4 linked regions of the Pelodiscus sinensis genome follow. The protein of the gene in region 1 purifies or fractionates together with the protein of each later gene. This does not show direct contact. Links are inferred from orthologs where the notes say so. Each region holds a gene or a part of one and is shown in the gene's direction. Other genes may lie near its edges.

Region 1 (7,955 bases):
GCAGGGTTGGCCCGGACGCATGCAGATCCAAGGGTGCTGCCCATCCTGTGCACTGTCCCAGTGGGGCGCATGGGTGAGTCCAGCCCCGGAGATTGCATCCTGCCCTACTCCTCCCTATTGCGTAGTTGTATACCGCTTGGCTGATAGACATGCTCACACAGCATGAGCGTGTCTATCAGCCAGGCAGTACGCAACTACATACTGATACTCGTAATAATAAAACTAACTTAATTATAACGTTAATTGAGAAAATATGTCCAGTATTTTCTCAATTTGTTTCCTGGACATCTAGCTGGTTGCTGTTTGACTTTCTGGTAACAAACTAACAGTGCCAGCCAATAATAAACACACGTGGGCAGTGCTTCTCATATTCACATTGCTTTATGGCTTTGGTCCTCACAGCAACCCTGTGAGCTAAGCAAATACTAAATATTGCCTGTGTATCGGGAATTGTAGACCTCCAAGAGTGAAAGGCAGTGTAAGGGAGCCAGGCTTTACTGGTGAAAAAACAGAGGCCTGTCTTCAGCATGGCAATGATCAAAAACTATTAACAAAGACTGCAGACAGCATGCTCCAATGGTAACCTGATAAGGAACCTATCAAATGAACAGCTACTCAGTGCTATGGCTCCAAGTGACTATCCACTGGACACTCATAATGAAATTAGCTTTTGGTGTGACTCCTTCTTCCTTATGACTCATTGGCTTGTCTGCCTTCTGCAGTGTCACAGGAAATGCTTTCTCAATAAATGAAAAAAAATCAGCCATGCACATCTCTGGAATGTTTTAACGTTTCCAACTTTCTCTAAGTGTCAGTTCTTGCCTGAAGTAACATGAGTTTGAAAATCAAACCACCACAGAGTTCCATGGGATTTCCTGGCATGAGATGCTGTTTGCTGTAGAAGTACAGACAGTCCGTGCTGTCAGCCTGTGATTTAATAGGTCATAGAAAAGCTACAGGTGTTTGGGGGCTTAAGTAATGGGCCCATTTTCTTCCTTGGATATAATATGACAGGGAAGGATTGTTGAGACAGGTGAAGGAGGGGTTATCTCTGTATAGATACTCATGCAGCAGACATATGCTCAGTGAAGTAGGTATATACGGTAAGAGTGATGTTAGTTCTTGTATTCAGAGCTCTCAAGATCCATAACAGTATGTCCAGGTTGGAAGTGAGTCACAAGGACAAGTTAGCAGAAAAGAGCTCACTCTCCTGACCTGTTCTTCCAGGTTCTTCTGTCTAGAACTAGAGGAACGTGGACTCTTCCTCTGTCAATCTAAATAATCTTTCTCGGAGTCCATGGAAATAATAGTTTGAGGTGTCCACATTTTGGCTTGCCGATACCTTCTGCTGGCCAAATGTGCATCTATAAATCAGTGCCCATTAATGGTTGAGGTGGGATGCCGGAAAATGTCCCTCTTTGGAGAGATCCCAGTGCATGAAAAAGAGAAAAAGGTACTGACTACTGAGCTATGTGGATGGAACCCTATTTCATTTCCACTTCTGTCTGTATATTCAGCCCTGTGCTTCCTCATATTGATCTATTAAGTGCTTCTCCCTGGCTTCATTTCTCCTGAGCCAAGAGGAAGTTGGTTTGAGTGACTGCAGGGGTCTTTCCCACCAGGGATTTACCAACGCTCCTAAAGTTTGACCGGAAGTGGCCATGTGGGTGGAGAGGCGAATGCAGTCTCAGTTTTTACTCAATCCTGTGAATTTGGGTATGGAGCAATTTATGATTCCTTCCCTCCTCCCCCCGTGGCTTCCCAAGGATAGCTCAGCCTTGTAGTGATGGACCATAGCCTCTTGGGATAGGATGAGTGCTCCAAGTTCTTTAAATCCTGATTCCAGGTGAGTGGGGACAGAGAATGAATTAGACACAGAGTGAGACTTACAGACTATTAAACTTATTATCCTATCTTAGATATCACTCAGATATATGTGATTACTACTGCTTCAAACATGTTGGGTCTAGAAGAGATTCCCTTGTTATCTTAAAGGTAGCTGCAAAACAACATCCAATTAAGGCTGGTATTCTTTTCCACTTCTCTATGATGCGTAACGAAAGCCTGACAGGTTGTTTGGTTCTGGATTCTAGTTCAGTGGTCACCAACCAGTAGATCTGGATCTACTGGTAGATCTTGGAGCCTCTGACAGGTGATCCTGACTGGTTAGGCCAAGAGGCTGTCAAGTGCCGGCACTTCAGCTACTCCTCCCCCTACTGCTGCATATCTCTTGCCCTTTGCCTTGGAACTGCCTCCCCCACCCCTGGGAGCCTCCTGCTTGCTTTGCAGGTCAGGAGAGGGAGAAGAGTGGCGCTGATGTCAAGGTGCCCCCTCTCCCAGCCTGTATCCTATCTCCAAAGAGCAGAGAGGGGGCACAACAGGACTTGGGAGGGAGTTTGCTAGCTGTTTTGGGAGTGGTGCAGGGCCAGGGCAGGGGTGAGCCTGCCTTAGCCCCACTGCACCGCCACCCAGGAGCCACCCGAGGTAAGCAGTGCCCAGCTGGAGACAGCTCTGAACCCCTGCCCCAGTCATGAACCCCCCTCCTGCACCCCAATCTCCTGCCCTAGTCCTGAGCCCCTTGGCTCCAGACTCCTTTACAAAGCCTGAGCCCAGAACCCCCTCCTGCATTCCAACTCCCTGTCCCAGGCTGAGCTCAGAGCCCCTCTCACACTCCAAATCCCTTAGCCCAAGACCAGAACCTGTGCCCCAACCCTCTTGCCCTGCCTGGTGAAAGTGAGGAAGGACGGGGTAGGAGGGAGGATGGAGTGAGCAAGGGTGGGGCCTTGGAGAAGGAGCACAAAGGAGGAGGGACAAGAGTATTTGGGTTTGAGGTAGATCTTGGATTGCACTTAAATTCAAAAAGTGATCTCATGCTTAAAAAGGTTGCAGAGGACTGTTCTAGTTTCTAGAGGGGAGGGGTTTTTTCACTTTAGAAATATCAGGCGCATCAACTTAAGAAGTTTTCCCTCCTTTCTTGGAGGATTCAGACATGGGTTTAGATCTCTCTCAGGCAACTGAAAGGGCTGGAGTAAGTAACAAAATAGTTTTTCTTCCAACTGTTTTTTTTTTGGGTGTCAGAGTTAAACAATAAAAATGACCCCAATGCAAAAAAAATAAAAATAAAATAGATTACATGAAAATCACTTTCCTTTTCCATTAATCGGGTTCCATTTTTATGGGATATCATCATCTAGTTTGTTCTCCATTTATCCATAGAGCTTCTGAGAAAAAGAACAGATACAACTGGGAATACAAATGTAAAAACTGACGCAGAACCTCCACTGACTCATGCACCTTTTTGGGGACCAGGTAGCTGAGGCCCTCTCAGGAGAGGCATCTTGAACTAGTAAATACATAATTAGGGCCCTACCAAATGAATGGTCTATTTGGGGTCAATTTCATGGTCACAGGATTTTAAAAATAATACATTTTGTTATTTCAGCTATTTAAATCTAAAATTTCACCCTAACCCTAAGGCAGCTCAGAAGTCTGGGTGACAATTCAGGTTGCACCTCTATAAAAACCAGAACTCTCTGGTATGGCAACTTCCTTGGTCTGGAAGATCAAAGAATCTGGGTCCACTGCGGGGGGAGGGGATGTAGAAGACAGGCACACTGTGGGTGGGGGTGGCAATGACAGCCCAGCTGGACTGGGTGTGGAAGAGCTGGGAAGCCCAGCATGCAGCTCAGCAGGGCTGCAGGGAGAGCCAGAAAGCCCGGGGGAACAGTGTAAGAGGGGTGGCAGCAGGGGGGCAAAATCCTTCATTGTGGACCAGTCAGGTCCCAGGGGTGCCAAACCAGGGAGGTCCAATCTGTACAACAATTCCCCCTAAAATAACTTTGCACATACACACCCTGGGGCTTCCTTTTGGGTTAAGACCCACAATTTGAGAACTGCTGGTCTCCCCCAGTGAAATCTATATAGCATAGGATAAAAGCATACACAGTCATAGTCAGACATGTTTTTCCTATCCCTGAATCTGGTAGGGCCCTAAACATCAGTAGCACTGGAAGTCAAGAGTTCCAGTCCCAGCTCTTCTGTGTGACCTTGGACAAAGTCACTGTCTCATTTCCCCTCTCTCATCAGTCTTCTCTCTTTAAATCACAAACCCTTAACTTTCAAAGGATTGTCTCTAGTCCTAACCTTGTTTGAGGAGTTGTATGAATTCCAGGCCTTCTCATTAATGCTTCTGATGGGCTCAGGTACTAGGGGGAAGAGTGCTGGGGAAAAGGCCAGGAATATCCCACATTTTAGGACACAGGATTAGCTCAGTGAGTGATCACTGGGGAGCCCTTAGACACCTTAGGGAGTGGTGGAGACTCATCTGCAAACAGACTAGATTCTTTTTAAACACAGCTTTTATTTGTGCTCTGGGAGGCTACTTAGAGCAAGCCCATGGGCAACCCCACCGGAATCCTGCCTGCCTAGCCTGGCACTGCCCAGATTATGGGACGCTCTTTGGGGCAGGGAACAGTCCTTTTGCCCAGCTCCATGACGGGGTCTCCGGGTTGCTTAGATCGCACAATAAACAAGCCACAATAATTCCACTCTGGGGGCCCCGGGAAGCCAGCAGCAAGCCCGGGATTTCCCTCCAGCTCGGGATGGCCAGCAGAGGCAGCTGCTCTATGCGTCGCCTCCAGCCTCTGCAGCTCCAGCCCCGCCACCCATCTAGCGGCCCCGGGGGCTGGGTACCGGAGCCGCGTCGAGCGAAGCGACGTCCAGCCCTGTCTTGCAAACGTCGGCGCTTCGCTCCGGACTACGCCAGTTTCCAGCTGGCTGCGCGCCCGGAGCCCTTTTTCCTTATTAAAAAGAAACTGGGGGGGGGGGATCTCAAACGGGGGGGGGGGGGGCTGGTTCTTTTCCCTTCATCTGTTTCCGGTTTGCTGCCATATTCCCCCTTTGGGGGGGCGTTGGGGGAGGGGGAGCCCTGGCAAATCGCTAAGAAGCGAGGATCCCATTCGCGGCGCGGGGAGCAGCAGAGAGGAGGGGGCGGGCCGGCGCCGCCCAGGCACCTGGAGGCAGGGCGGGAGGGGGCGATCCTGCGCCGGCCTTGCCTGGCCCCGATGCTCAACCCAGCGGCATGAATCACGGCGGGGAGAAGGTGTCTCCGCCGCAGGCGGGCGTGCACCGCTGCTGACATCACGGCTCCGAGTCCCCAGCCATTCGCTAGCGCGGCAGCCGGGCAGGGGCTGGGGGAGCGAGCAGCCGAGGGGTTAATTCCTCCCCGCCCCCCGCCAGAGACAAAGCCGGAGCCGGGTTTTGTGTCTGGGAACGCCCGGGACTCGGCCATGAGCCGCGTGTCCGCCTCGCAGCTGTCCGGCCCCCTGCCGCTGGGCCAGGGCGTCTCACCGGGCTGCGGGCGAGGCGTGTAGCTGCGGGAGCTGCGAGCCGCCGGGGAGAAAGGAGCTGCCCGAAGGAGCCATCCGGCCCCGGTGCTTTTCCGCGGGGAGGGAAGGTAAGAGACCGCCCGGCGCGCTGGGGCTGGTGATACGCTCGGGGGCACCGACCAGCCCCGGGGGGCTGCCCCGGCGCTTTGGCATCTCCCTGCCTGGGGGCGGTGGGTGCCTGCTGGGGCTGTCGCCCCCAATGGAGGGTTTACACTGCTCCGCCCGACGGCAGCGGCTGCTCCTGCGTGTGGCAGCCGGGAGCCTCCCGGAGCCGCAGCCTGAATTAGCCGAGGAGCTCCGGGCTAAAGGTATTGTCTGCTAGGGCTGGCGAGGCGGCGGCGGGGGAGCTCGGGGTGCGGGACTTGTTCCGAGCCCCGCACTTTCTTCTCTTGTGCGGGGCTGCCTGAAACGGTGGGGCAGCTCTGTCTAGCCGAAGACTTTCTATAGTTCATTTATTCAAACCAGTCGGGGAAACGAGGAGGGGGGGAGGAGCTATATGTAGGCCAAAATATGAAATATTAATCACTCCGCTGCTTTGATGTCTTCTGAGCCAGTTCCCTTTTACTATTTGTTAAATATTCATTTAAAACAAAACAACGACGTAGCTGCTCTGTGGGGGGTTGTGTGTTTACATCACGTCGTGCAGTGTAAGAGAATCGCTGCTCCTCCCTCTTCCTCCCTCCCCAACCTGGTCCTGTTTTATTTAGTGTTTATGATTTAAAGACTGGAAAACGATTCATTAACCGCTCTGTAACTTCTGCTGCCTGATCAGAATATCGATAGAACATCGATACAAAAAAAAGTAACACTGTGCCTCTTAGAATCTGTGCCATATCTGTAGTAATCGGGAGCTGTCAGGCAAAATACTGTAGTTCTAGGTACACAAAGAGGCTGAGGTAATATTTTGCATTGGAACAACTAATGTTGGTGAAAGAGACAAGCTTTTGAGCTACACAGAGTCCTTCCTCGTTCTTCTGAAGCCAAACACCTGGGGTCTGAGCTGACAAACTTCAATGGGCTTTTGTTGTTGTTTTACTCCCTAGCTATCCTGGGAACATGGGGCGTGGGTGGTGCACATGCTCTGTGATCATTCTGAGACACTAAGAATTTTATGATCTTGATTCATTCATTTGTAACCTGCTGGGAGATGTGTGAGTAAGCCCAGCGGCAGGGATAGTCAGGATGTGCTTAATACATCTTGGCACCAGGAAGGCTTAGGGTGCCTCTTCTGCTGGATGTTCCTGGTACTGTGTGGTGTTTGCCAGCAAACTTCTATATGGCTTTCTACAAAAAATGAATGAGATGGCTGTCTTGTCCCTTGATTCCCTTGCTCCTTCCCTTCTCTTATGTCAGAGTACCTGCACAATGACTTACCTCCCTAGCTTTGTTGGGGTTCTGTTGCTATAAGTATTTACTAATGTTTCCTCTAATTTTTTCCATCAGTGGGCAGAATAAATTTTGTTATGTACCAAGTGCAGATGTGTACCACCAATAGAAACACACACTATCTTTGGATAGCTGGGGGCACTCTACTAATCAGCTGGGTGGCATTTGGATCTCTCCTGGGCAGCCACCCAAGCACTCAGCTTACAGGGAACACTGGTACTTACTGAAGCACCAACAGATATGAAGCCCTCCTAAATCAGTTTCCATTTTTATAAAACCTAGGGCTTTAGAAGCCCATATTGTTAGTTTCTGGGCCTGCAGCCATTACTGTAGTGACTGAATGCCCTTAGGAAATAGGCTGCATTGGAACCCAGAATTATCTCACACAGTCTCTTTGTATTCGTATAGACTAGGAACAACCACCCAATAGTCTATAGTTTGTAAAAAACCCAGATGGTCAGTGGGGGGAGTGGGGGAAGGAGGAGAGGGAGAGGGTGAACATGTATATACGGTCTTTCCTCCAAAAGAGGTGGCAAAGGCTAACTATTTTACCTGTTCCACAGAACAGCTCAATACCAGGGTGATCCCACAGACTGTTAAGGGTATTTTAGGTCATCCTTGACTATAACACCTCCCTGGTAAAGGTTTCCAGGTAGCTGCTCTTGGTTTATGGGGCACAATGCTCACCTGGAGGGGTTGAGGGTTTCTTTTTGGCCAGGCCTGTTTGCTGCCAGCAAGTGCTAGCTTTCTGAATGCTCCCTATCATGCCAGGCTTCAGGGTAGGGGGTAGGGGCCAGGCTGAGGTGTCTATGGTTTTAACCCTGCTGGTTGTGGGTGAAGGACTTCTTTGTGCCATTTATAAATTGCTGCGGGTGGTGGTGATAACAAACCTGATCCACACCAGGAATACAGCACTTGTCACAGGTTGTCAAGTTGTCTAAAACTTTGTCTGCATGGAGAAAGCATTCGGTGTTTGTTGGTGCCCCCCTCCTCCCCCTTCACACACTCACCCCGGTGTTTGCAGGAGAGGAAACTGTAGTATGGACAGAAAGCGGGCATGTCTTGAAGCTGCTCTGCGAGCAAAATGAGAGGACACGATGGTTAGGTGTCTGCATCCTGTCTACACCACAGCGTTCACGGTGGTCAGTGCCATTGGAGGAAACCACTTACCACTTTCTCGGT
Region 2 (7,824 bases), on another chromosome or scaffold:
CAGGGAACCTGGTGCCTCCAGGTATGGACTCGGAGCAGGAGCTAGGGGAAATCAAGCTCCTTTACACATGGGCTACGTCTACACTGGCATGAATTTCCAGAAATGCTTAAAACGGAACAGTTTTCCGTTATAAGTATTTCCGGAAAAAGAGCATCTACATTGGCAGGATGCTTTTCCGGAAAAGCCTTTTTTCCGGAAAAGCGACCGGGGCCAATGTAGACGCGCTTTTCCGCAAAAAAGCCCTGATCGTCATTTTTGCGATCGGGGCTTTTTTGCGGAAAACACTACTGTGCTGTCTACACTGGCCCTTTTCCAGAACAGTTTTCCGGAAAAAGGACTTTTGCCCGAGCGGGAGCAGCATAGTTTTTCTAGAAAAGCAGCTGATTTCTTACAGTAGATCGTCAGTGCTTTTCCGGAAATTCAAGGGGCCAGTGTAGACAGCTCGCAGCTTATTCCGGAAAAGCGGCTGCCGAATAAGTGGCCGAGTGTAGACACAGCCATGGAGTTCCAGCAAAAATGGCATGAGGGAGCTATATGGTTTCATGCCCCCCTGATCTGCCACTTTCTTCCACTACCCCATTCCAGCCTGATCTCAGCACCAGATCTCTGCCCCGGCTGCTGCAAGAGCCTTTTCTGCTTCACAACCTTCCTTTATCCCTGTTCCTCACCTCCCTCTATCTCTTTCCAGATCTCAGCTGCTCTCCTATCTTTCCTCCCTAGCCTGTACCTCTGGCTGCTGTTGCAACTGCATTATCTGGGAGACACACTGGAGTAGCACTTGTGTGCAAGATACTGCACAATCAGCAGCCCCATTGTATGGTAACAGCCTGGGGGTTCCCACACCCCGATCTCCCCTCCCCTTGGCAGCCAGAGGAGATCTCTGAATAAATAGTCTGTACTTGGGTTTTCATCAATGGAAAGCTGAAGAAACTGCTGAGATAAAGGAGAGATAAATAGCCAGCCTCTAACTGTTAAGGCTCACAAATGATTAGCCAGCTCTATTATAAACACACACCCCTAACCAGCTATTAAGTGATGACTCTCTCTTGTACACACAGCAGCTCTTAGGTGGGGGCTGCGACAGGTTTTTAGGGGAGTGATTTTTCCCCCTTTCTGCTGAAGGAACGCACTAGCAGTGTGGATATGAGTATTGCTTTTCCAGAAAAACAGCCGTTTTTCCAGAAAAACTCTGCAGTGTAGACGTACCCCTAGGCTATGTTTACACTGGCGGGTTCTTGCACAAGAACATCATGCACAAGGGTTCTTGTGCAAGAACTCTTGCACAAGAACACGTCCACACTGCCAGGTGCTTTTGCACAACAGCGCCCATGGCAGTGTGGACGCTCTTTTTCTCAAGAAAGCACTGATGACCATTTTAGCTATAGGGCTTTCTTGCACAAGAAACCCCTGCCACGCATCCACACTGCCCTCTTGAGCAAGAACTCTTGCACAACAGAGCTTACACTTGTTAGAAAAGAGCGTAGCTCTTGCACAAGAAGCCCTCTCTTCCCACGCTTTACTATAAATCTTCTTGCGCAAGAGCTAGGGGGCCCACGTGGACGCTTTGCGGAAGAATGGCCGTTCTTGCACAAGAACCCGCCAGTGTAGATATAGACCTAGTGTGGATGAAATTATACCAGCATAAAGGAACCTGAGGTCTCTTTTACTCTAACAAATTTTTCTAGCAGGCAGGCTTGGGGCTGATGGGCCTGTAATATACTCACGCTCCTGGCCAGCTTACCTGTGGCAGCAGAAGCTCTCGCATAAATTAAGTTACACCAGTAAAAAATGTCCATTTGCCAGTGTAGCCTATTCCGCTGGAGGAATTGGTATAAACTAGAGCTCTTCTGGCTCTATTAGCTGCATCTGCACTATACCAGGCTCGCTATCGCAAGCAAACTCTTTGTGTGTAGACAAGGCATGACTCAGCCTTGCACCTTTCATAGAGCTATAACTGCATCCACATTAGCGCGGTGGTTCTCAAAGTGTCCGTCTTGCAGGTAGGTCGTGGGCTTGGGGCTCCAGCCTTGTGCCAACTTTCCGCTGTGGGGGGAAAGGGGCAAGCCTCATGGACTGGATCCAACTTGTGGGTTAGGAAGCAGCTGTGTGTGTTGCTGCTCTCCCTCCCCTCCCCCTACGTTGGGGGAATGGCAATGCAGGAAACCACCCACCTGGAGGCTTTCCCCACTGCTCCCATTGGCCGGAATCATAGTCAATGGGAGCAGTAGGGGGTGGTGCTTGGGAGCAGTGGGAGGCACAGAGCCAGGTAAGGGCCCCCTATCCGTCGTATGTCAAGACCCCACACTCTCGGCCCACTCCTGCACCCAACCCCCTGCCAAGACCCCTCCATCCTCAGCCCACTCCTGCACCCAACTGCCCACCCAAATTCCTCCCTGCAACCTCAGCCTGCTCCTGCATCCTACTTCCTGGCCAGACCCTGCACTCCTACCCCTTCCTGCACCCATTTTGTCATGATGGGTGGTTGGCTGGTGGTCTCTGCTGAGCAGGGTAGGCCATGGGCCAAAAAGCTTGAGAACCACTGCACAAGAGGGTTGTAGCCAGTGCAGATTCTAGGGCTGATGTAGCAAACCTAGGGGGGCTGGGGCTAGATAGGCATGGGAAATAGGAGTGCAGGGGGTGCTGCAGCACCCCCAGGTTTTGCACCAAGCTTCCCTGCACCCGGAGGGCTGGCCCTGCTGCCCATCCATCGCTTGCTTTGCCAGTCCCTGTTCCTGGCCTCATAGGGTACGTCTAAACTACATGCCTCCGTCGACGGAGGCATGTAGTCTAGACACACCCATGGAGTCCCACCAGGCCTCCAGGATCAAGCCAGCCCCACTGACTTCGTCACAACCTACTGGCCTCATGGGTTCCACCAGCCCTCAGATCCCATTGCCAACCAGTCTTGCACCCATGGGCTCCTCAGCTGACTGGCCCTGCTAGCCCTAGAGTCCAGGTCACCAGCCCTGGATGCCCCATACCCACCCTGGGTCCTGCCACTGGTGGGGGGCTCTGCCTGGGGGCAGCCTAAGGCTAGGATTGCCAATTCTCCCAGCCACCTGCCCCATTGATGTGAATGGTGTCCGGTCAGTCTGGTCTGGGAGAGTTTGCAACTATCAGAGAGACGCAAACAGGTCCAAGGGGAGGGGGTTCACTCATCACCCCTCACCCTAAAAATTGCTCCGGTGCCACTGTGGGGCTATGAACTGCCAAGCCAGGAGATGCCAGGGCTCAACTCTGCTGAGCATGGGCACAAATTAAGCTCTGGGTGGAGGGGTCTGTTTGCACCAGCCGGGTCAAAGCTGTGAAAGCAATGTCCATAGGCAGTCATTAAAGCAGTGGTTCTCCATTTTGCGGGGGGGTGGGGGCACAGGCTTGGAGCTCCCCTCCTTCCCGCAGCGGTGAGCCTGTGCTGGCGCTCCAGCCCCACGCCGGCTTCCCACTGCAAGGGGGTCGGGGTGAGCCTTGTGGGCTGGATCCAGCTTGCGGGGTAAGTAAATGGCTCTGTGTGCTGCTGCTCCTCCTCCCGGCTGGGGGAACAGCAGCACAGGAAATGGCTCCGCTGGAGGCTTTCCCCGCTGCTCCCATTGGCCAGAATTACAGCCAATAGGGGCAGTGAAGGACGGTGCCTAGGAGCAGTGGGAGACACAGAGCCAGGTTAGCATCCCCCATCCTTCTCATGCCCAGATCCTGCACCTCCATCCCCCTCATTCCCACCCCTCCCACCCAGACCCATTCACTCTCAGCCCTCTTCTGCATCCTACTTTCTAGCCAGACTCCGCACTCCCACCCTTTCATGCACACGTTTCATCATCATGGGGGGTTGGCTGGTGGTCCATGGAAAGGTTTATGTTGAGAAGTTTGAGAACCATTGCACTAGAGAAAGGAATACTCCGTACAGATGTAGTCGCCTTATCTCACCAAAGATATCCTAGCACTGGAAAAGGTTCAGAAAAGGGCAACAAAAATGTTGAGGGGTTTGGAGCAGGTGCCATATGAAGAGAAATTAAAAAGGCTGTGACTTTTCAGCTTAAAAAAGAGGAGACTAAGGGAGCATATGATAGAGGGGTCTATACAAAAGGGAAAGTTATTTACATGTCCCCGTAACATAAGAACTAGGGGTCGCCACATGAAATGAATAGGTAGCAGGTTTTAAAACAAACAAAAGGAAGTTTTTCTTCACGCAGCTCACAGCCAGCCTGTGGAACTCGTTGGCAGAGGATGTTGTGAAGACTAGGACTTCAACAGTTCAAAAAGAGAACTAGATAGATTCATGGAGGTTAGGTCCATTAATACTTATTAGCCAGAGTGTGTAGGGAAGGTGTCCCTGCCTCTGTCAGAGGCTGGAAATGGGTGACAGGATGGATCACTTGATTCCCTGTTCTGTTCACTCCCTCTGGGGCACCTGGTGTTGGCCACAGTCTGAAGACAGGATGCTGGGCTAGATGGATTTCGGTCTGATCCAGTATGGCCGCTCTTATGAGTCCATGCCAGCATCTGTGCCCAGGCGATCAGGACAGGGGCTGGAGATGCTGTATCAGGCCTGGGAGGGCATATGTGCAGTCCCTTTAACACAGGCCTTCTTTAATGAAAACATGAGTCAGCTGCTGGCGTGGGCAGTGGATTTTCTAAACATCCCCTCATATCCTGAGAAAGGGGAAAAAATGGGAGGGGGGGGGGGTTTGAAATCAGGGCAGGGCGAAAGGCCAGAACTGAAAGCAGGGAGAGCCAGCAAGAAGCAGCCCCCCAAGGCGGCTCCTCCAGCCCAAGGAGGAAAGGCAGGGGGCTGCGCTCAGCTTTGCTGAGGCTTTGAGCCGGGAGCTGGGCTCCGAGCCCCTCTCCCGCCCCCGGTTCTCACCGAAACTCCCCCTCAGAGCCTGCTTCGGTTTGTTTGGAATCGAAAGTTTTGGAGAAAGCTCCAGCTGGAAGGAGGCGGGGAGAAGGGAAAGGCGGCTCCAGCCTTGTGCCGATTGGACACGGGCTCCCCCCTCAAGTTCCCCCCCCCCCCAATTGTATCCCCCCCGCTGCCGCGCTGGGGCTGTCTCCGCAGCGCACTTCAGGGCGCCCGCCGAGGCTCCAGGCTCCTCTGCGATGCTCGTCTAGAGGCAAAGCCAGGGCACCTCGGGACTCCGCGGCGGCTCCTGGCTGCGCGGCGCTGGGAGGAGCCGGGCCGGGCCGAGCCGGGCCGGGAACGCTGCCCAGACGGCGATAAGGAGGCGGGAGAGGCGCCGCTGGGGACTGGCGAGCGAGCGAGCCCAGCGCACGGTAAGTGGCGCGCCCCGCGAGCTCCGCTGCGCGCTGGGGGCTGGAAATCCCGGGGGGCTGGAGAGAGGGGTGGGGGAGTCACGGCCGCTCTGCTGGGGGCCGAGCTCGGGAGCCGCCGGCGTCGAGGCGGGCGGGGGAGGGCGAAGGGACCTGGCAGCGAGCGAGCGAGCGAACCCCGCCAGCAGCTGGATGCGCGCACGGGCCCCGCTGCGCTCCTAAGATGCGCGGCCAAGCGCCCGGCTGCGGGGCGCGCCCGGACGGCAGGACCGCAGCCCTGGGAGCTAAGCGAGGGGCAGGGAGCAGGGGCCCTGGCGTGCTGCTGGGCCGGCCTGGGAGAGGGGCAGAGCTGTGGGGGCTTCCCGCTGACAGGCTTGGCCTGGGGGGAGACTTAGCTCTGAGGGAGCTGGGGAAGGGGATGGGGATCCTGGGACAATCATGAGAGGCTTAGGCTATTCCCGAGCAGGGCAGGGGCTGGGCCCTGGATACCAAGGCGCTGGATGGTGCAGAAAGGTCTGGGGAGACAGTGAGCTACCAAGCCAGACAGCTGGTTCTCTCCGACAGGGCTGGTGACGCAGCAGGGGCGGCTTTTCCCCGGGCAGGTCCGTCCCCTGCCTCCGTATCCAGCCAGGTGGCTGGTCCCAGGGCGAGCCAGGGGCTCATGGTTTGTGCGAGTCAGGCCCCCCCCACCGGAGCAAAAGCTGCAGGATCGGGCCCGAAGGAAATTCTCCCCGTTCCTGCTTCTGGGCTGGTAACCACACGCCCTCCTCTGAGCTTGGTCACAGCCCTGGCTGTCCTGCCCAGGGACAGCTCACCCTGCTGGGCTCCGGGATGAGCCCTGGGCACAGGCCGCCCACACTGATCTGGGTAAAAGCAGAGGGAGCAATCCCAAGGGTTGGCGGGGATGGAGGCTGCAGGGCATCTCTCCAGGACCTGGCCATCAGAGGAGAACACAATGCTGAGAAATGCCTCTGCCGCAGGCCAAGGGGGGAGAGGGGACGCAGGAGAGGGACAGTGACCTAGGAAACCTTTCACCTCCTGGGTTTCTCTTTCGCATCTGTCCCAGCAGGATGGCTGGTTAGTGCTCTCTGGGATGTGAGCAGGGGGCTTTGCTCAGTCCTGCCTGGAGATCAGGGCTCAGGTCACACCACCCCAGGGGCCTGCTTTGCTGGATGGAGATGCTGGGGTCTGAATGGGTCCCAGACTGAAATACCGTCAATCAAAGTCACATGGGTGGGGCACGGCAGGAGAGGCAGCACCCCCAGAAGCAGTAGCCTGGGACTCCCCCACACTGGGGCAGGGATGACACCTGGACGGAGAGGGCTGCATTAGGCTTTGAAGTGTGGTCTTAGATCTTCTTCTTAAACCCTTGTCACTCCGAGGGAGCATAGGTCGTCTACAGGTCTCCTCCACTTCACTCTATCTTGAGACAACACTTCTAGCTGACTCCAGGAGTACCCCAGTTGTTGTCCTTCAATCTCAATCGATCTTCTCCATGTTGTCCGAGGTCTTCCTCTTTCGCGTTTTACTTGCAGGTTCTATGTGAGAGCTTGCCGGACTGTGCTGGATGATGGTTTTCTGAGTGTGGCCTCGCCAGCCCCACTTTCTTCTCTTGATTTGAATGTCCAGTGGTCCTTGTCTTGCTCTTTTCCAAAGCTCTTCTTTGGGACACAGTCTTGCCATCTGATGTGAAGGATGGACCGCAGGCGTCTGTCTAGGAATGTCTGTAGCTTGTGAGGTGAAGACTTTGTAGTATGCCAGGTCTTGTACCCATACAACAGCACGTTCTTCACATTTGTGTGGGCGATTCGCAGTTTCGTCTTCGCAGATATTATTTATCAACGTCCACCAAGTTCAGTCTATTCTAGCCTGGCTCCCCAGCCAAGTGCCACTCATCTCCGTAGGATCAAGGCTCGGATGGGGCCCTGCCAGAGCAAGGACATATTTTAGGCTCTGATTCAAGCTGAGCCCCACCTCAGTGGAGTCAGGCTATTGGGTGTGCCAGGGAGGGCCAGAAGGGGGCTGGGATGGTCTGAAAGTGAGATTGTGAAGGAGACAGGGCGTCCTGAAGGAGCCAGGAGTCCGTGGGCAGCATGGATGGGAAGGAAGCTGCGTTTACTGTCCAGCGTCACATCAGAGGGCTATTAATCTGGGACTTTCCAAGGGGCGTGGGGAGCAGGGCCATGTGGAATGGGCCATGGCCTAAGATGCAGCTTTTTCTCTCCTCTTCTCTCCCCCACCCCCCGCTATTTATCTGTACCCTTGACCCCTTACTCCAGCCATCTGAAGAAGTGGGTTATGCCCACGGAAGCTCATGACACCATCTACATGTTTTGTTAGTCTCTAAGGTTCTGCAGGATTTTTTGTTGGTTTTTAGATTTTTTTCAGTTACAGACTAACACAGCTCCGCCCTCTGAGGGTACGTCTACACTTGCTCCCTCGTTGGCGCTAGGGATGCAAATGTAGGCGACCAAAATTGCTAATGAAGCGGGGATTTAAATATCCCGCGCTTCATTAGCATGATCTCGCCGGCGCGTTACTCCCCTCAACAGCTGATTCGAA
Region 3 (6,857 bases), on another chromosome or scaffold:
GCTCCCTCCCGCTATCACCCGGAGCCGGGACGTGAACCCCGAGTCTAGCGCGGCGCCTGCACCCGGAGCCGGCATGGGGGAGAAGGCGGGCACCAGGTGGGGGCTGGTCCGGCGCGCTACAGGGCGCGGGGTGGGGAGGGGGAGCTTGCATCCCAGCAGGAGAGGGAACCCAGGCGTCCTGGCTCCCCCCCAACCACCAGCCCCCACTCCCCTCCCACAGCCAAGGAGTCCTGACTCCCAGCCCCCCCCAACCACCAGCCCCCACTCCCCTCCCACAGCCAAGGAGTCCTGACTCCCAGCCCCCCCCCAACCACCAGCCCCCACTCCCCTCCCACAGCCAAGGAGTCCTGACTCCCAGCCCCCCCCGCTCTGACTCACCAGCCCCCACTCCTCCCCAGCGCTGGGGAGGGAACCCAAGAGTCCTGGTACCCAGCTCCCCTCCCCCCACTGACTCATCAGCCCCCTCTTGCCTCCCAGAGCTGGGGAGAGAACCCAGGAGTCCTGGCTTCCCTTGCATATGAGTGGGAAAGGCCTGATCCTGGTGCAAGGATGTAGGTCATGGCTGGGGGAGGGGCAGCTAATCCAGGAGTAAGGCAGCAGCACTGCCAGGCACTGGGGGTGGAACCAGATTACGGAGATATCGGACCCTGGTGCCAGCCCTGCCTCGGACGCCTGGGTTCCTCAGGACACCTTGGGAAGCTGTCATTTAACACCCAGATGCCTCGGTCCTTTGAGGCCTTTGGGAAGGGCTCCCTCCAGACAGGTGCAGGGACCTGGCCCATGATATGATATTCTCCCCCTGCCCTGTCTCTGCGTTGGGTGCTAGGGATAGGCTGGAACCTGGCAGCAGCTGTCAGGCATGTTTGGTCAGAGCGCTCTGGAGTTTATTGCCCCAGAGATAAGGGCAGGAGGCTAGAGAAGAGGGGGCCAAGGGCTGCCTGGCTCCACCACTCCTGCCAGTGCCCCTCACTCCCAATCCGCAGCCCCTTGGCTCTGAGGCTGTTTGGGATAGTGGGTCTCTCCTGGCGTGGGGGTGGGTCAGAAAGAGGAACTGGAAGCTGCGTAGCTCAGCAGGCAGACTGCAGAAGCTGCTCTGAGGAGCAGAGCAGATGTGGGGGGAGGGCTGGGATTGGGGGAGCAAAGGGATCCCAGCCCTAAGTTTTTCTTTACAAACACTTTCAGTCCCAGCCCTAGGGAGTCCCACACTCTGCATTCCGTCCCTGGTGCAGAGATGCAGCCACCTCTTGGGGGAGCGGAGAAGTTGTACAGAAACCTATGTTGAGGAGGGAGGGGGGCCCAACGCTGTCCCATCCCCTTGGGGCAGTGCTGTCCCTTCCTGAGGCCATAGAGAGGGCTCAGGATTAGGGCCAACTGGCTGAGTGCTGAACCGCAGGGGTGCACGGTGACCTCCCCCAACTGTCACCCAAGTGCCTCCCTAGGACTTCCTCACAACATCCTGTCTAGGAAACAAAACAGGAAACGCCACGTCCTGTTGGAGACACGTGTCCTAACCTTGTGCCAGCCCTGCCCCATGCCAGTGCCCCTCACTCCCAAACAGCAGCCCCTGCCAGCCCAGTCCTGGGCTCCCCTCAGCTCTGCCAGTGCCCCCCATTCCTGACTCTCAGACCCTGGCAGCCCAGCTCTGGACTCCCCCAGCTCTGCCAGTGCCCCTCACTCCCAACCTATAGCCCCTGCTACCCCAGCGCTGGGCTACTATGAGTGCTCCTCACACCCAACACAAAGCTCCCTACTGCTGTTTCTGTTCCCATGTGCTGGGTTCCCTGTTTACATCCTGGCACCCCATATGTCTGTACCTTCCAGGTGGGGCTGCTTCTTGACTCCTCCTCCTCAACCTGGTTGTTCTGAGGAAGGGGGCCAACAGCCAGTGGGGTCAAAGGTCAGCCTGGATCTTCCCCAGTGCATGAGACATGGGACTAGCAATTTCCATAGCAACCTGAATATGTAGGGGGAATCCAGCACTGAATCCTCCCCCCAAACTGTATGAAATGTTTGGGGAGATGCTCTTAGAGGGAGGCTCTTAGAGGGAACTGGGCAAGCCTGGTGGGGCAGAAGTTGGTTCTCTCCCCTTTCTGGAAAATTGGGGAGGGCTTTATGGAGAGCTGTGGGGGACCCTTCCCCCCAGATCCTGCCCCCCTCATTCTGAATCAGCTGGGTTGTTCCCCCTTCACTCCTGGGTGGTCCCTGAATTCACTCCTCCCCACCCCCCTGCTGCTCCTGTCACTATGGTTACACTGGGACAACCAGCCTGGATCCTGTTTCTGTGGCAACCAGCTAGACCTGAGGCAGACAGGTGGATTCCCCCCCCCTTTCCCCCAGCTGAGCTACTGCTTGGAAGGCAGAGGTCAAAGGTCAGCCTGGTGGACCCCTGAGATGGGGGGAGCTGAAGTTGGGGAGGCCCATGTCAGTCAGTTCTGACCTATGCCCCTTCCCCCACCCCTTTTCCTCCCCAGGGTCTTCAAGAAATCAAGTCCCAACTGCAAGGTGAGTGACAGCCCGGTGCCCCTCACTCCCAACTCGCAGCTCCTGTGCCCCACCTGACCCCAAGCCAACCTAGCCCCATCCAGTGCCTCTCACTCTCGACCTGCAGCTCCCAGCCACCCCGGCCCTGCCCGGTGACCCTCACTCCTGACCCCCAGTAGGGATGTTAAGTATCGGGTAATTGACTAGTCAATAGGACACCTCTGCCTTTGAAGTGTAACAACAGCTTGAGGGCTGTTGCTACACTTCAAAGGTGAAAGCACCAAAGCGCTAGGGTCAACTGGGGACTCCCCCACTGACTCCAGGCTCCATGCAGCATTGCTGCTTTGAAACGGCATTTCAAAGCAACAGCGCTGCACAGAGCCCAGGGTCAGCTGGGGAGTCCCCAGCTGATCCTGGGCTCCCCACAGCATTCAAAGCAGCAGTGCCACACGGAGCAGCTGACCCCACGCTCCATGCAGCGCTGCCGCTTTGAAGTACCCCCCCTTGTCGCCCCCCTTGCTGCCTCTTTCTGATAGAGCCAGCAAGAGGGAGGAGCAACTAGTCAACTATTCTGTCGACTATCCGATAAGCATTTGCTTATTGGATAATTGAATAGTCTTTCACATCCCTTACCCACAGCCCTTGGCCCCACAGCCCGGTGCCCCTCACTCCTGACTCACAGCCCCCCATTTCCCATCTGACGTGTAGACTCTGGCCGTGCCCGGTGTCCCTCACTGCCGACCCGCAGCCCCTGGCCAGCCTTTCCCTGCCTGGTGCCCCTCACTGCCGACCCACAGCCAGCCCAGCCCCACCCAGTGCTCCTCAATCCCAACCTACAGCCCCTGGCCTGCCCAGCCCCGCCCAGTGCCCCTCACTCCTGATCCGCAGTTCCCGGCCAGCCCAGCCTCATCTGGTGCCGCTCACTCCTGACCCGCAGCCCCGCCCCTCCCAGTCCTCCTCAATCCCAACCTGCAGCCCCTGGCCAGCCTGGCCTTGGGTTCTGGGTAAGAATGTTAACTGGAACAGCCATCCGCCCGTTGTGGGTGTGGGGCTGCTTCCGCTGTGGGCGGGGAGGGCAGGGTGCTCCAGCCTGGCCTGAGCAGCTCTTGTTTTTGTTTGCTGTGGGTCCAGCCCAGCCAAAGAAGGGGTTGCTCCAGCCTGGCCACGGGCAGGGGCTACCCTGCCCAAGTGCATTTAATAGGTTAACCAGTTAAACTTAATGTTTAACCAGTTAACTCATTAAATGGGATTTTACATCCCTAGTTCTGGGTGTTATGGTCTCTTCCCCCCCCCCCCCCCCCCCAACCTCAATGGTTTCCTCTTGCGGCTCTTCCCCCGCCTGGCTTCCTCCCTTGCGCACTGACACGGGGATCCTGCCATGTCTCTCCCCTCCCCCCATGGGCCTTTGCACACACTACTGAGTGCCCGTCCACGCAGAACTTGGCCTGAGGCTTGTGCATAGAGAGGTGGGGGGGCTAAGGTTGGGATGGGAGTGGGGCCCTGTATTGTCGAGGGGCAGAAGGTGCAGTGTAAGGGGGGCTCTGAGCTAGGGAAGAGTCATCCCAGGTTCTTGAGGGAGAAAGGGGGAGAGGCCCTGAGCTCCAGGCAGTGAAGAGTTAACCACCACCCACTTCTTCTCCCTCCTTCCCCCCCACACAGTTTGTTTACATTGGGTTTCCACACACCTGCCCCCCCCCCTTTCCTGATTGGCTGCCCCCCTCCCTAGGGCCCCCTCAAATTCCTAGGGGGCGGCAGAGCTGCAGATAAACAGACTCTGGAAGGAGCAGCGGGTGTGGGGGGGTGGTAGGTACAGTGAAGGTGCGTGGGGGGGCAGCAGGCGTGGCTGGGGCAGGGAGGGCATCTCAGGGTGGGGATGGAGCCCCTGGAGCTGGACAGGATTCGATGTGAGATGTCTGGGAGCCTCCGGGTCTTCAGAAAACAGCTGGGAACCCAGGTAAGGGGGTGCTAATTGGGGACTGACAGCTTGCATCAGAGCAGTCCTGATCTGGTAGAGTTCCCCCCCACCCACTGGGTGCTGCAATGGGCTATTTCCCCACGTGGGTGTGAGGATCTGTCTGTCCCCCTTCCCCATGTCTGTCTGTTCCCACAGCTCACTGTCTATCTTGGCAAGCGTGACTTTGTGGATCACCTGGACCGGGTGGACCCTGTGGGTGAGTTAGGGGGTTAGGGAGTGGGGAGGGTAGGGGCCTTAAAGGATTGGTGGAGGCTGGGAATTGGGGATATTGGGGGGCTGGCAGTTAGGGGGTCAGACATGGAGGAAGGTCAGTGGGGGTCTGGAGTTCAGAGGGCCGGTTGGCTCTAGGAGTGCTGGAGGTTGAGGGGCAGAGATGGCTGAGGGGCAGTGGGGTGCTAGGGCTGGAGGTGTTTGGGGTGCTGGGAGACCAGGGACTGGTTGGCTATTGGAGTGGGGTGGTGGTTACGGGGATGAGGGTTCAGGGTTAGGAGACATGGAGTAGGGAGTTAGAGGGCTGGTCAGAGACTGGGGGTCAGAATGCTGAGGTGGCTGGGGGAAGTCTGGGGGTCCAGGGACTGATTGGCTCTGGGGTGGTTGGGGTGCACAGAGCTAGTGGGGATCAGGGGATCCTGCCCAGTCTCACCCCTGCCCTGATTCCCATGCAGATGGAGTGGTGCTGGTGGACCCCGAGTACCTGAAGGATCGGAAAGGTGAGAGGGGCTGGGGGGGGAGGCTCCTGCTCTGAAGAGGGGTGAGATTCCAGGCTCCACCACTGCCCCTTTGACCCAGACTGGCTAGGGGCGAGGCTGAGTGATCAGGCTCCACCCCTGGCATGTCTGTTCTTGGGTAGGGGGAGGCATCTTGGGGAAAAGGAGGGTGGGAAACAGCTTGGGGAATTCTGAGTAGAGCTGTCTGAGGCCTTCACCCTGTCTTGCTGCCCTCTTCCCCACCCCTCTTCTGCAGTGTTTGTGACTCTGACCTGCGCTTTCCGCTATGGGCGTGAGGACCTGGATGTGCTGGGCCTATCGTTCCGCAAAGACCTTTTCGTCGCCACGTGCCAGGCTGTGCCCACCCTGCCTCAGGAGCAGTGCTCCCCCACCCGCCTGCAGGAGCGGCTGCTGCGCAAGCTGGGAGCCCATGCCCACCCCTTCTCCTTCACGGTGAGCGCCCCGGGGACTCTCCAGGGACCCTCAACCTTCCAGTGCCCTCTTTCACCTTCATGCTGAGCCCCCAGGAACCCCAGCACCCCCTAACCCTAGGGATGTTAGTGGCTAGTTGCCTAATCGTTTAACCAATATGCGATTGTTTATCAGTTAACAGTCCCAGTTAACTGCAACACACCCCTACGTGCTCTGCATTTAAAACTCGGACCAGCAGGTTTGCTCAGTCGCAGCCCATAGGTCCAAGTTTTAAATGAAGAGAACATGGGAGCCCCCTACCACGCCACGCTACTGCCTTTGAAACAGCTCAGAGCCTGCGGGGCAGCAGGTGGGAGTCGATACGTGCCAGCAGCTGGTTTAAAAACCAGCTCCAACCTTCCACCTGCACTAATGCCTCTGAATCAGCCTGAGCTCCTGTCCTACTCCTGGAGTCCTAGACAGGAGCTGCTGTCACCAACACGGAGTGGCAGGGGGCTCCCCAGGAGTAGGACAGGAGTTCACTGGCTGCCAGGCCCAACCTCAGGAGGGAGCATTTTAGTAACCGTGTACAGGGCGCCCCCACTCTAAGTCCCCCTGTTATACATCTGTTCCACACTGAAGTCGTTGCCACTTGTAGGAACTGATGCATTATAAATCCTCCCATTCCCTGCTCTTCGGTCATGCCAAAAACAAAACAAAAAACCCAATTTGAGCACATGGAAGTCATCCGTGGGGAACAATGCCCTGGTTTCAGTTTCACTATAAGTCCAGGTTTTTTTAAACATATCTTGGATTTATCGCAAGGCCGGCCTGTAACCACTAAGCACTGCTGACACTACACAATTACTAAAATAAACCATTTCTGACATCCCTGCCTACTCCCCCCATACCCTCTTTCACCTTCACAGTAAGTCCTCAGAGCGTCCCCTCATGTGGCAAAATGGGGATTTTATGCCCTTTATGTTGCTTGTTAGTTCTGGTGTCATGCCATGTGTTGCCTTCGTTTCCCTGGGCACTGTACCAATGCCTAGACGGGGCTGGGCATTTCAGTGTGACAGCCTCCCCCACATCCACAGTGGCTGATACTTTCTGGAAGTTGAGCCTGGGAGGGGTGCGTGTCTAAGTAACATCTTTACACCAGGAAGCACCACAAAGGCTGGAGGAGGGGCCTGGCTGGGACTACCCTGACTCTGGTCCCCCCTCTCCCCAGATGGATTGTACTGGCTGCTGCTGGTTTCTATGTTGACAAGTCTGTTCTACAC
Region 4 (7,219 bases), on another chromosome or scaffold:
AGGGGGGAGGGCTGTGGTGCGGGGTGTCTGGGAGGAGGGCTGTGGGAGGGGGGAGGGCTGTGGGGGGCTGGGGGAGGGGGGAGGGCTGTGGTTGGGACTCTGTGGTGCGGGGTGTCTGAGGGAGGGGGGAGAGCTGTGGGGGGCTGGGGGAGGGGGGAGGGCTGTGGGGTGAGGGGGGGAGGGCTGTGGTGCGGGGTGTCGGGGGGGGAGGGCTGTGGGAGGCTGGGGGAGGGCTGTGGGGTGAGGGGGGGAGGGCTGTGGTGCGGGGTGTCTGGGGGGGGAGGGCTGTGGGGTGAGGGGGGGAGGGCTGTGGTGCGGGGTGTCTGAGGGAGGGGGAGGGCTGTGGTGCGGGGTGTCTGAGGGAGAGGGGAGGGCTGTGGAGGGCTGGGGGAGGGGGTGAGGGCTGTGGTACAGGGGTGTCTGAAGGAGGGGTGAGGGCTGTGGGGGGCTGGGGGAGGGGGTGAGGGCTGTGGTGCGGGGTGTCTGAGGGAGGGGGGAGGGCTGTGGTGCGGGGTGTCTGAGGGAGAGGGGAGGGCTGTGGAGGGCTGGGGGAGGGGGTGAGGGCTGTGGTACAGGGGTGTCTGAAGGAGGGGTGAGGGCTGTGGGGGGCTGGGGGAGGGGGTGAGGGCTGTGGTGTGGGGTGTCTGAGGGAGGGGGGAGGGCTGTGGTGCGGGGTGTCTGAGGGAGGGGGAGGGCTGTGGGGGGCTGGGGGAGGGGGTGAGGGCTGTGGTGCGGGGTGTCTGAGGGAGGGGGGAGGGCTGTGGTGCGGGGTGTCTGAGGGAGGGGGGAGGGCTGTGGGGGGCTGGGGGAGGGGGTGAGGGCTGTGGTGCGGGGAGTCTGGGGGAGGGGGGAGGGCTGTGGTGCGGGGTGTCTGGGAGGAGGGCTGTGGGAGGCTGGGGGAGGGGGGAGGGCTGTGGGGTGAGGGGGGGAGGGCTGTGGGAGGCTGGGGGAGGGCTGTGGGGTGAGGGGGGGAGGGCTGTGGTGCGGGGTGTCTGGGGGGGGAGGGCTGTGGTGCGGGGTGTCGGGGGGGAGGGCTGTGGGGTGAGGGGGGGAGGGCTGTGGTGCGGGGTGTCTGGGGGAGGGGGGAGGGCTGTGGTTGGGACTCTGTGGTGCGGGGTGTCTGAGGGAGGGGGGAGAGCTGTGGGGGGCTGGGGGAGGGGGGAGGGCTGTGGGGTGAGGGGGGGAGGGCTGTGGGAGGCTGGGGGAGGGCTGTGGGGTGAGGGGGGAGGGCTGTGGTGCGGGGTGTCTGGGGGGGGAGGGCTGTGGGGTGAGGGGGGGAGGGCTGTGGTGCGGGGTGTCTGGGGGAGGGGGGAGGGCTGTGGGGTGAGGGGGGAGGGCTGTGGTGCGGGGTGTCTGGGGGAGGGGGGAGGGCTGTGGGGTGAGGGGGGAGGGCTGTGGTGCGGGGTGTCTGGGGGAGGGGGGAGGGCTGTGGGGTGAGGGGGGAGGGCTGTGGTGCGGGGTGTCTGAGGGAGGGTGAGGGCTGTGGTGCGGGGTGTCTGAGGGAGGGGGAGGGCTGTGGTGCGGGGTGTCTGAGGGAGAGGGGAGGGCTGTGGAGGGCTGGGGGAGGGGGTGAGGGCTGTGGTACAGGGGTGTCTGAAGGAGGGGTGAGGGCTGTGGGGGGCTGGGGGAGGGGGTGAGGGCTGTGGTGTGGGGTGTCTGAGGGAGGGGGGAGGGCTGTGGTGCGGGGTGTCTGAGGGAGGGGGAGGGCTGTGGGGGGCTGGGGGAGGGGGTGAGGGCTGTGGTGCGGGGTGTCTGAGGGAGGGGGGAGGGCTGTGGTGCGGGGTGTCTGAGGGAGGGGGGAGGGCTGTGGGGGGCTGGGGGAGGGGGTGAGGGCTGTGGTGCGGGGAGTCTGGGGGAGGGGGGAGGGCTGTGGTGCGGGGTGTCTGGGAGGAGGGCTGTGGGAGGGGGGAGGGCTGTGGGGGGCTGGGGGAGGGGGGAGGGCTGTGGGGTGAGGGGGGGAGGGCTGTGGGAGGCTGGGGGAGGGCTGTGGGGTGAGGGGGGGAGGGCTGTGGTGCGGGGTGTCTGGGGGGGGAGGGCTGTGGTGCGGGGTGTCGGGGGGGAGGGCTGTGGGGTGAGGGGGGAGGGCTGTGGTGCGGGGTGTCTGGGGGAGGGGGGAGGGCTGTGGTTGGGACTCTGTGGTGCGGGGTGTCTGAGGGAGGGGGGAGAGCTGTGGGGGGCTGGGGGAGGGGGGAGGGCTGTGGGGTGAGGGGTGAGGGCTGTGGTGCGGGGTGTCTGGGGGGGGAGGGCTGTGGGGTGAGGGGGGGAGGGCTGTGGTGCGGGGTGTCTGGGGGAGGGGGGAGGGCTGTGGGGTGAGGGGGGAGGGCTGTGGTGCGGGGTGTCTGGGGGAGGGGGGAGGGCTGTGGGGTGAGGGGGGGAGGGCTGTGGGAGGCTGGGGGAGGGCTGTGGGGTGAGGGGGGAGGGCTGTGGTGCGGGGTGTCTGGGGGGGGAGGGCTGTGGGGTGAGGGGGGGAGGGCTGTGGTGCGGGGTGTCTGGGGGAGGGGGGAGGGCTGTGGGGTGAGGGGGGAGGGCTGTGGTGCGGGGTGTCTGGGGGAGGGGGGAGGGCTGTGGGGTGAGGGGAGAGGGCTGTGGTGCGGGGTGTCTGGGGGAGGGGGGAGGGCTGTGGGGTGAGGGGGGAGGGCTGTGGTGCGGGGTGTCTGGGGGAGGGGGGAGGGCTGTGGGGTGAGGGGGGAGGGCTGTGGTGCGGGGTGTCTGGGGGAGGGGGGAGGGCTGTGGGGTGAGGGGGGAGGGCTGTGGTGCGGGGTGTCTGGGGGAGGGGGGAGGGCTGTGGGGTGAGGGGGGAGGGCTGTGGTGCGGGGTGTCTGGGGGAGGGGGGAGGGCTGTGGGGTGAGGGGGGAGGGCTGTGGTGCGGGGTGTCTGGGGGAGGGGGGAGGGCTGTGGGGTGAGGGGGGAGGGCTGTGGTGCGGGGTGTCTGGGGGAGGGGGAGGGCTGTGGTGCGGGGTGTCGGGGGGGAGGGCTGTGGTGCGGGGTGTCTGGGGGAGGGGGGAGGGCTGTGGGGTGAGGGGGGAGGGCTGTGGTGCGGGGTGTCTGGGGGAGGGGGGAGGGCTGTGGGGTGAGGGGGGAGGGCTGTGGTGCGGGGTGTCTGGGGGAGGGGGGAGGGCTGTGGGGTGAGGGGGGAGGGCTGTGGTGCGGGGTGTCTGGGGGAGGGGGGAGGGCTGTGGGGTGAGGGGGGAGGGCTGTGGTGCGGGGTGTCTGGGGGAGGGGGGAGGGCTGTGGGGTGAGGGGGGAGGGCTGTGGTGCGGGGTGTCTGGGGGAGGGGGGAGGGCTGTGGGGTCAGGGGGCTGGGGGAGGGGGGGAGGGCTGTGGGGGGCTGGGGGAAGGGGGGAGGGCTGTGGGGTCAGGGGGCTGGGGGAGGGGGGGAGGGCTGTGGTGCGGGGTGTCTGGGGGAGGGGGGAGGGCTGTGGTGCGGGGTGTCTGGGGGAGGGGGGAGGGCTGTGGGGTCAGGGGGCTGGGGGAGGGGGGGAGGGCTGTGGGGTCAGGGGGCTGGGGGAGGGGGGGAGGGCTGTGGGGGGCTGGGGGAAGGGGGGAGGGCTGTGGGGTCAGGGGGCTGGGGGAGGGGGGGAGGGCTGTGGTGCGGGGTGTCTGAGGGAGGGGGGAGGGCTGTGGGGGGCTGGGGGAAGGGGGGAGGGCTGTGGGGTCAGGGGGCTGGGGGAGGGGGGGAGGGCTGTGGTGCGGGGTGTCTGAGGGAGGGGGGAGGGCTGTGGGGGGCTGGGGGAAGGGGGGAGGGCTGTGGGGTCAGGGGGCTGGGGGAGGGGGGGAGGGCTGTGGTGCGGGGTGTCTGAGGGAGGGGGGAGGGCTGTGGGGGGCTGGGGGAAGGGGGGAGGGCTGTGGGGTCAGGGGGCTGGGGGAGGGGGGGAGGGCTGTGGTGCGGGGTGTCTGAGGGAGGGGGGAGGGCTGTGGGGGGCTGGGGGAAGGGGGGAGGGCTGTGGGGTCAGGGGGCTGGGGGAGGGGGGGAGGGCTGTGGTGCGGGGTGTCTGAGGGAGGGGGGAGGGCTGTGGGGGGCTGGGGGAAGGGGGGAGGGCTGTGGGGTCAGGGGGCTGGGGGAGGGGGGGAGGGCTGTGGTGCGGGGTGTCTGAGGGGAGAGGGCTGTGGTGCGGGGTGTCTGAGGGGGGGAGGGCTGTGGGGGGCTGGGGGAGGGGGGAGGGCTGTGGTTGGGACTCTGTGGGGGGGGCTCTGGGAGGCAGCGCAGAGCAGCGGGAGGGTAGCGCGCTTTCAGGAACAGCCGGTGCCGCAGCGCGGATTGGCTGTGGCTGCGGCAGGCCCGCCCCGCGGCTCGGGATTGGCCCGGGGGCTGGCCGCGCAACGGGCGTTCTGTTGCCGTGTCCTCGCTCGCTTTCGGTTTGCCGGCGGCGGCGCAGCAGCGAAGCGGTGACGGCGGCCCGGAGCCTCCTCTCGCCAGTCGGGTGAGTGACCCGGCGCCGCGTCCCCGCCCTGCTGGGGCCCTGAGCGCCGGGCAGCGCTGCCCCGGGCCCTTCCTTCCGCCGGGGCCCGCCTCCCGCACAGCCACGGGCCACGCGGTAGCGGTGAGGCGGCGTGAGCCCCAGCGAGCGGGGCAGCAGCAGCTGAGTGAAGCCGGATGAGCCCCCCTTCCCCCCACCTCTGAGCTCGCCGGTCCCAGCGGGACACACTCCCGCTGGGAAGTTGACGCATCAGCTGGAAATGTTGTTCCCTTGTTGCCATTGACACGCTTCTAATTCCCCACAGACACCCCACGAATAGGCAGGCTCTGGCCAAGTCCTGGTGATGGCTGCTGGCTGCTGCGCTCCTGTAACTACAGCCTCGCTGCACTGGCTTCGCAAAGATTCCACGTGGCTGGATTCACAGTCACCGAGCCAGTGGTCCTAAGACCCAAACCCCTCCTCCAGTCAGTGGAAAAACCCTGATCCTAGGACATAGAAATGCAGAGTCACCCCCTTGCCCAGCCAGGTGTTGGGAGCAGGAGCCACACAAGAGCTGACCTGTATGGCATCCTTGCCTACCCCAGTGAGTGCTGATGTCTTAGCTCGTGTTTCTAAAAATAGGTAGGGAGATTTTAGACATGGAAAGTGACGTGTAAATGGCATCACAGATCCTACAGGAACTATGCTGACTGCCTCAGAGGGAAGCACAGAACAACCCCCCCCAAAAAGACACTGCTTTATAGGACTTGACCTTCCCACCTCTTTAATTGAATTCCCTAGATATATAGGATTACGAAACTGCAGCACCTGATTCCTCTGAGACTCAAGGTTCATTCCTATTGTAACTCTTTCCTAAATAAATACACACAGAGAGGTACAAGTTGGTCACGGTATTTTAGGACAGAATGATGAAGGAACATAGGATTAAGAAGGCAGCATGAAAAATGTAATGGAAAGATGTAAGATACGTGCACATCTTTTCAAAGTGAACGTGCAGAGTTAAGGCATGTCTGCACTAAGGATGTTAAATTGCGTTTAATGAGCTAATCAAGTAGACGATGGCTTTTAAGCCTGCTCTCCTCAGCTCCTGCTCCCTTCTTCCCCGCTGCCTCTGATAGAAGTAACAAGGGGGGGAGAAGCAACTAGTAAACTAGTGACTCAACTACCCGAGAAGCCCAGGCTTATCAGGTAGTCAACTATTCGACTAGTCGCTTACATCTCGGCTTTGTCTACACTGCCTGCAAAGCCTATGCAAATGAAGCGTGGATTAGCATTTTGCCATGCTTCGTTTGCATCATTTATTCAAGCCATTTTTACACAAGGTTTTTGCTTAAAAACAAGCAGTGTGGACTCTTCTTTTGCGCAAAACCCGTTTTGCACAAGGTCCTTATGTGAGGCATTCTTACCTACCCCAGTGGGTGCAAGGCATAAGGATATTGTGCAAAATGGGGGTTTTGCACAAAAAAATTCCATCCACACTTATTGTTTTTGCGCAAAAACCTCTTGTGCAAAACCAGTTTGAATACATTATGCAAATGAAGTGTGGCAAAATGCTAATCTGTGCTTCATTTGCATAGGCACTGCCCACAAAGCCGGCAATGTAGACGTAGCCCACTAGGGAATTATTTCGAAATAGCTCTCCGTATTTTTAAATAAAAAGACGAGCATCCACGTTACCAAGCCCCTTATTTCAAAATAAGTGGAAGTTATTATTTTGAAATAATAACTTCCACTTGTGAAGTGGAATAGTGCTGTTTTGAAATAGTTATTTCAGGAGTTATTTCAAAATAACTTCCCAGTGTAGATGTGCCCTTAGAGAAATCACTTTCAGAGGGACTTAGGAAACTAATAAGTAACTTTAAAATCCAAGTCAGACGGGACCATTGTAATCATCTGATCTTGCAGTATAAACTTCAGAGTTTTGCTAAGTAATTCTTGCCATGACCTCCATAATTTCTGGTTGAAGTACAGCAGTGTCTTTCCTGTGTTTTTTTTTTCCCAGTACATATTAAAACACAGAATTAATTTAGGCTGGTCAGGGTGCTTTTACTGTTATTACACAAAGCATGTTAAACAAACATCTGTCAGGGAAAACTTAAATATTTAGTCCTGCTGTGCAGGCTAGATTAGAAGACCTCTCAAAGTCTCTTTCAGTTCTGTGATTCTATTAAGAATCACTGAGCTAGAGCAGTGTTTCTTAACCATTTTTATAAAGTACCCCTTTAAAAAAAAAAAAAAAAAAAAAAAATCCCCAGTACCTAGTTTTCAGACATACAAATTTTTTTTCTACCATTGGAACACATTTATTTAAACGAGTTAATCGTAGCCAAGAGGGCGATTACATTTTTGGGTGTAAAAAGTACAAAAATAATAAAGTGCTGTAAAACTTAAAACAAAAATTCAGTTTTCTTCAAATTTTAGTTGTGTTGACGTATCCCCCAGACTTCTCTTTGAAAGACTAAATTATGGATCCGCTACATCTGTAGGTAACGTCTTCTAGTGATTAACTGTTCTCAATGCTAAAAATTTGCTCAGTTTGCTCTCAATGTTAAAAACCTTATTTCTAGCCTGAATTTGTCTTGCTTCAGCTTCCTGACCCAGTTATGTCTTTGCTAAATTGAAGAGCCTTCTAATATGAGAAATCTCTCCCCCACATAGATATAGGTTGGACCTCCCTGGTCCAGCATACTCGGGACTTGCATGGTCCCAGGCAAGGGAGTTTGCCTGACCAGGGGCACTCAGGCTAGCTGCTTACTGTGCTGCAATGTGCTGCCAGTTCCCAGATGGGCTGCGCTATGCTG

The links.
Region 2: the proteins of SRC (region 1) and PDGFRB purify together in Homo sapiens (affinity purification with western blotting; 4 studies listed by BioGRID and IntAct, with this or other methods). This does not show direct contact. The link is inferred for Pelodiscus sinensis from reciprocal best matches to the Homo sapiens genes SRC and PDGFRB.
Region 3: the proteins of SRC (region 1) and ARRB2 purify together in Homo sapiens (affinity purification with western blotting; 4 studies listed by BioGRID and IntAct, with this or other methods). This does not show direct contact. The link is inferred for Pelodiscus sinensis from reciprocal best matches to the Homo sapiens genes SRC and ARRB2.
Region 4: the proteins of SRC (region 1) and STAT1 purify together in Homo sapiens (affinity purification with western blotting; 3 studies listed by BioGRID). This does not show direct contact. The link is inferred for Pelodiscus sinensis from reciprocal best matches to the Homo sapiens genes SRC and STAT1.

Annotation. Positions count from the first base shown.
Region 1 is NC_134728.1:24,429,288-24,437,242, reverse strand, and holds the start of SRC (proto-oncogene tyrosine-protein kinase Src), read left to right. Parts: upstream 1-4,948; 5' UTR 4,949-5,455; intron 5,456-7,955. UniProt on the Homo sapiens protein: Non-receptor protein tyrosine kinase which is activated following engagement of many different classes of cellular receptors including immune response receptors, integrins and other adhesion receptors, receptor protein tyrosine kinases, G protein-coupled receptors as well as cytokine receptors.
Region 2 is NC_134727.1:35,019,606-35,027,429, reverse strand, and holds the start of PDGFRB (platelet-derived growth factor receptor beta), read left to right. Parts: upstream 1-4,808; 5' UTR 4,809-5,265; intron 5,266-7,824. UniProt on the Homo sapiens protein: Tyrosine-protein kinase that acts as a cell-surface receptor for homodimeric PDGFB and PDGFD and for heterodimers formed by PDGFA and PDGFB, and plays an essential role in the regulation of embryonic development, cell proliferation, survival, differentiation, chemotaxis and migration.
Region 3 is NC_134734.1:8,207,612-8,214,468, forward strand, and holds the start of ARRB2 (beta-arrestin-2), read left to right. Parts: upstream 1-3,849; 5' UTR 3,850-4,354; coding exon 4,355-4,435; intron 4,436-4,591; coding exon 4,592-4,652; intron 4,653-5,121; coding exon 5,122-5,166; intron 5,167-5,419; coding exon 5,420-5,616; intron 5,617-6,857. UniProt on the Homo sapiens protein: Functions in regulating agonist-mediated G-protein coupled receptor (GPCR) signaling by mediating both receptor desensitization and resensitization processes.
Region 4 is NC_134717.1:67,124,059-67,131,277, reverse strand, and holds the start of STAT1 (signal transducer and activator of transcription 1-alpha/beta), read left to right. Parts: upstream 1-4,212; 5' UTR 4,213-4,421; intron 4,422-5,212; coding exon of another isoform or gene 5,213-5,252; intron 5,253-7,219. Other genes in the region: uncharacterized protein LOC142830272, read right to left, coding at 5,213-5,252. UniProt on the Homo sapiens protein: Signal transducer and transcription activator that mediates cellular responses to interferons (IFNs), cytokine KITLG/SCF and other cytokines and other growth factors.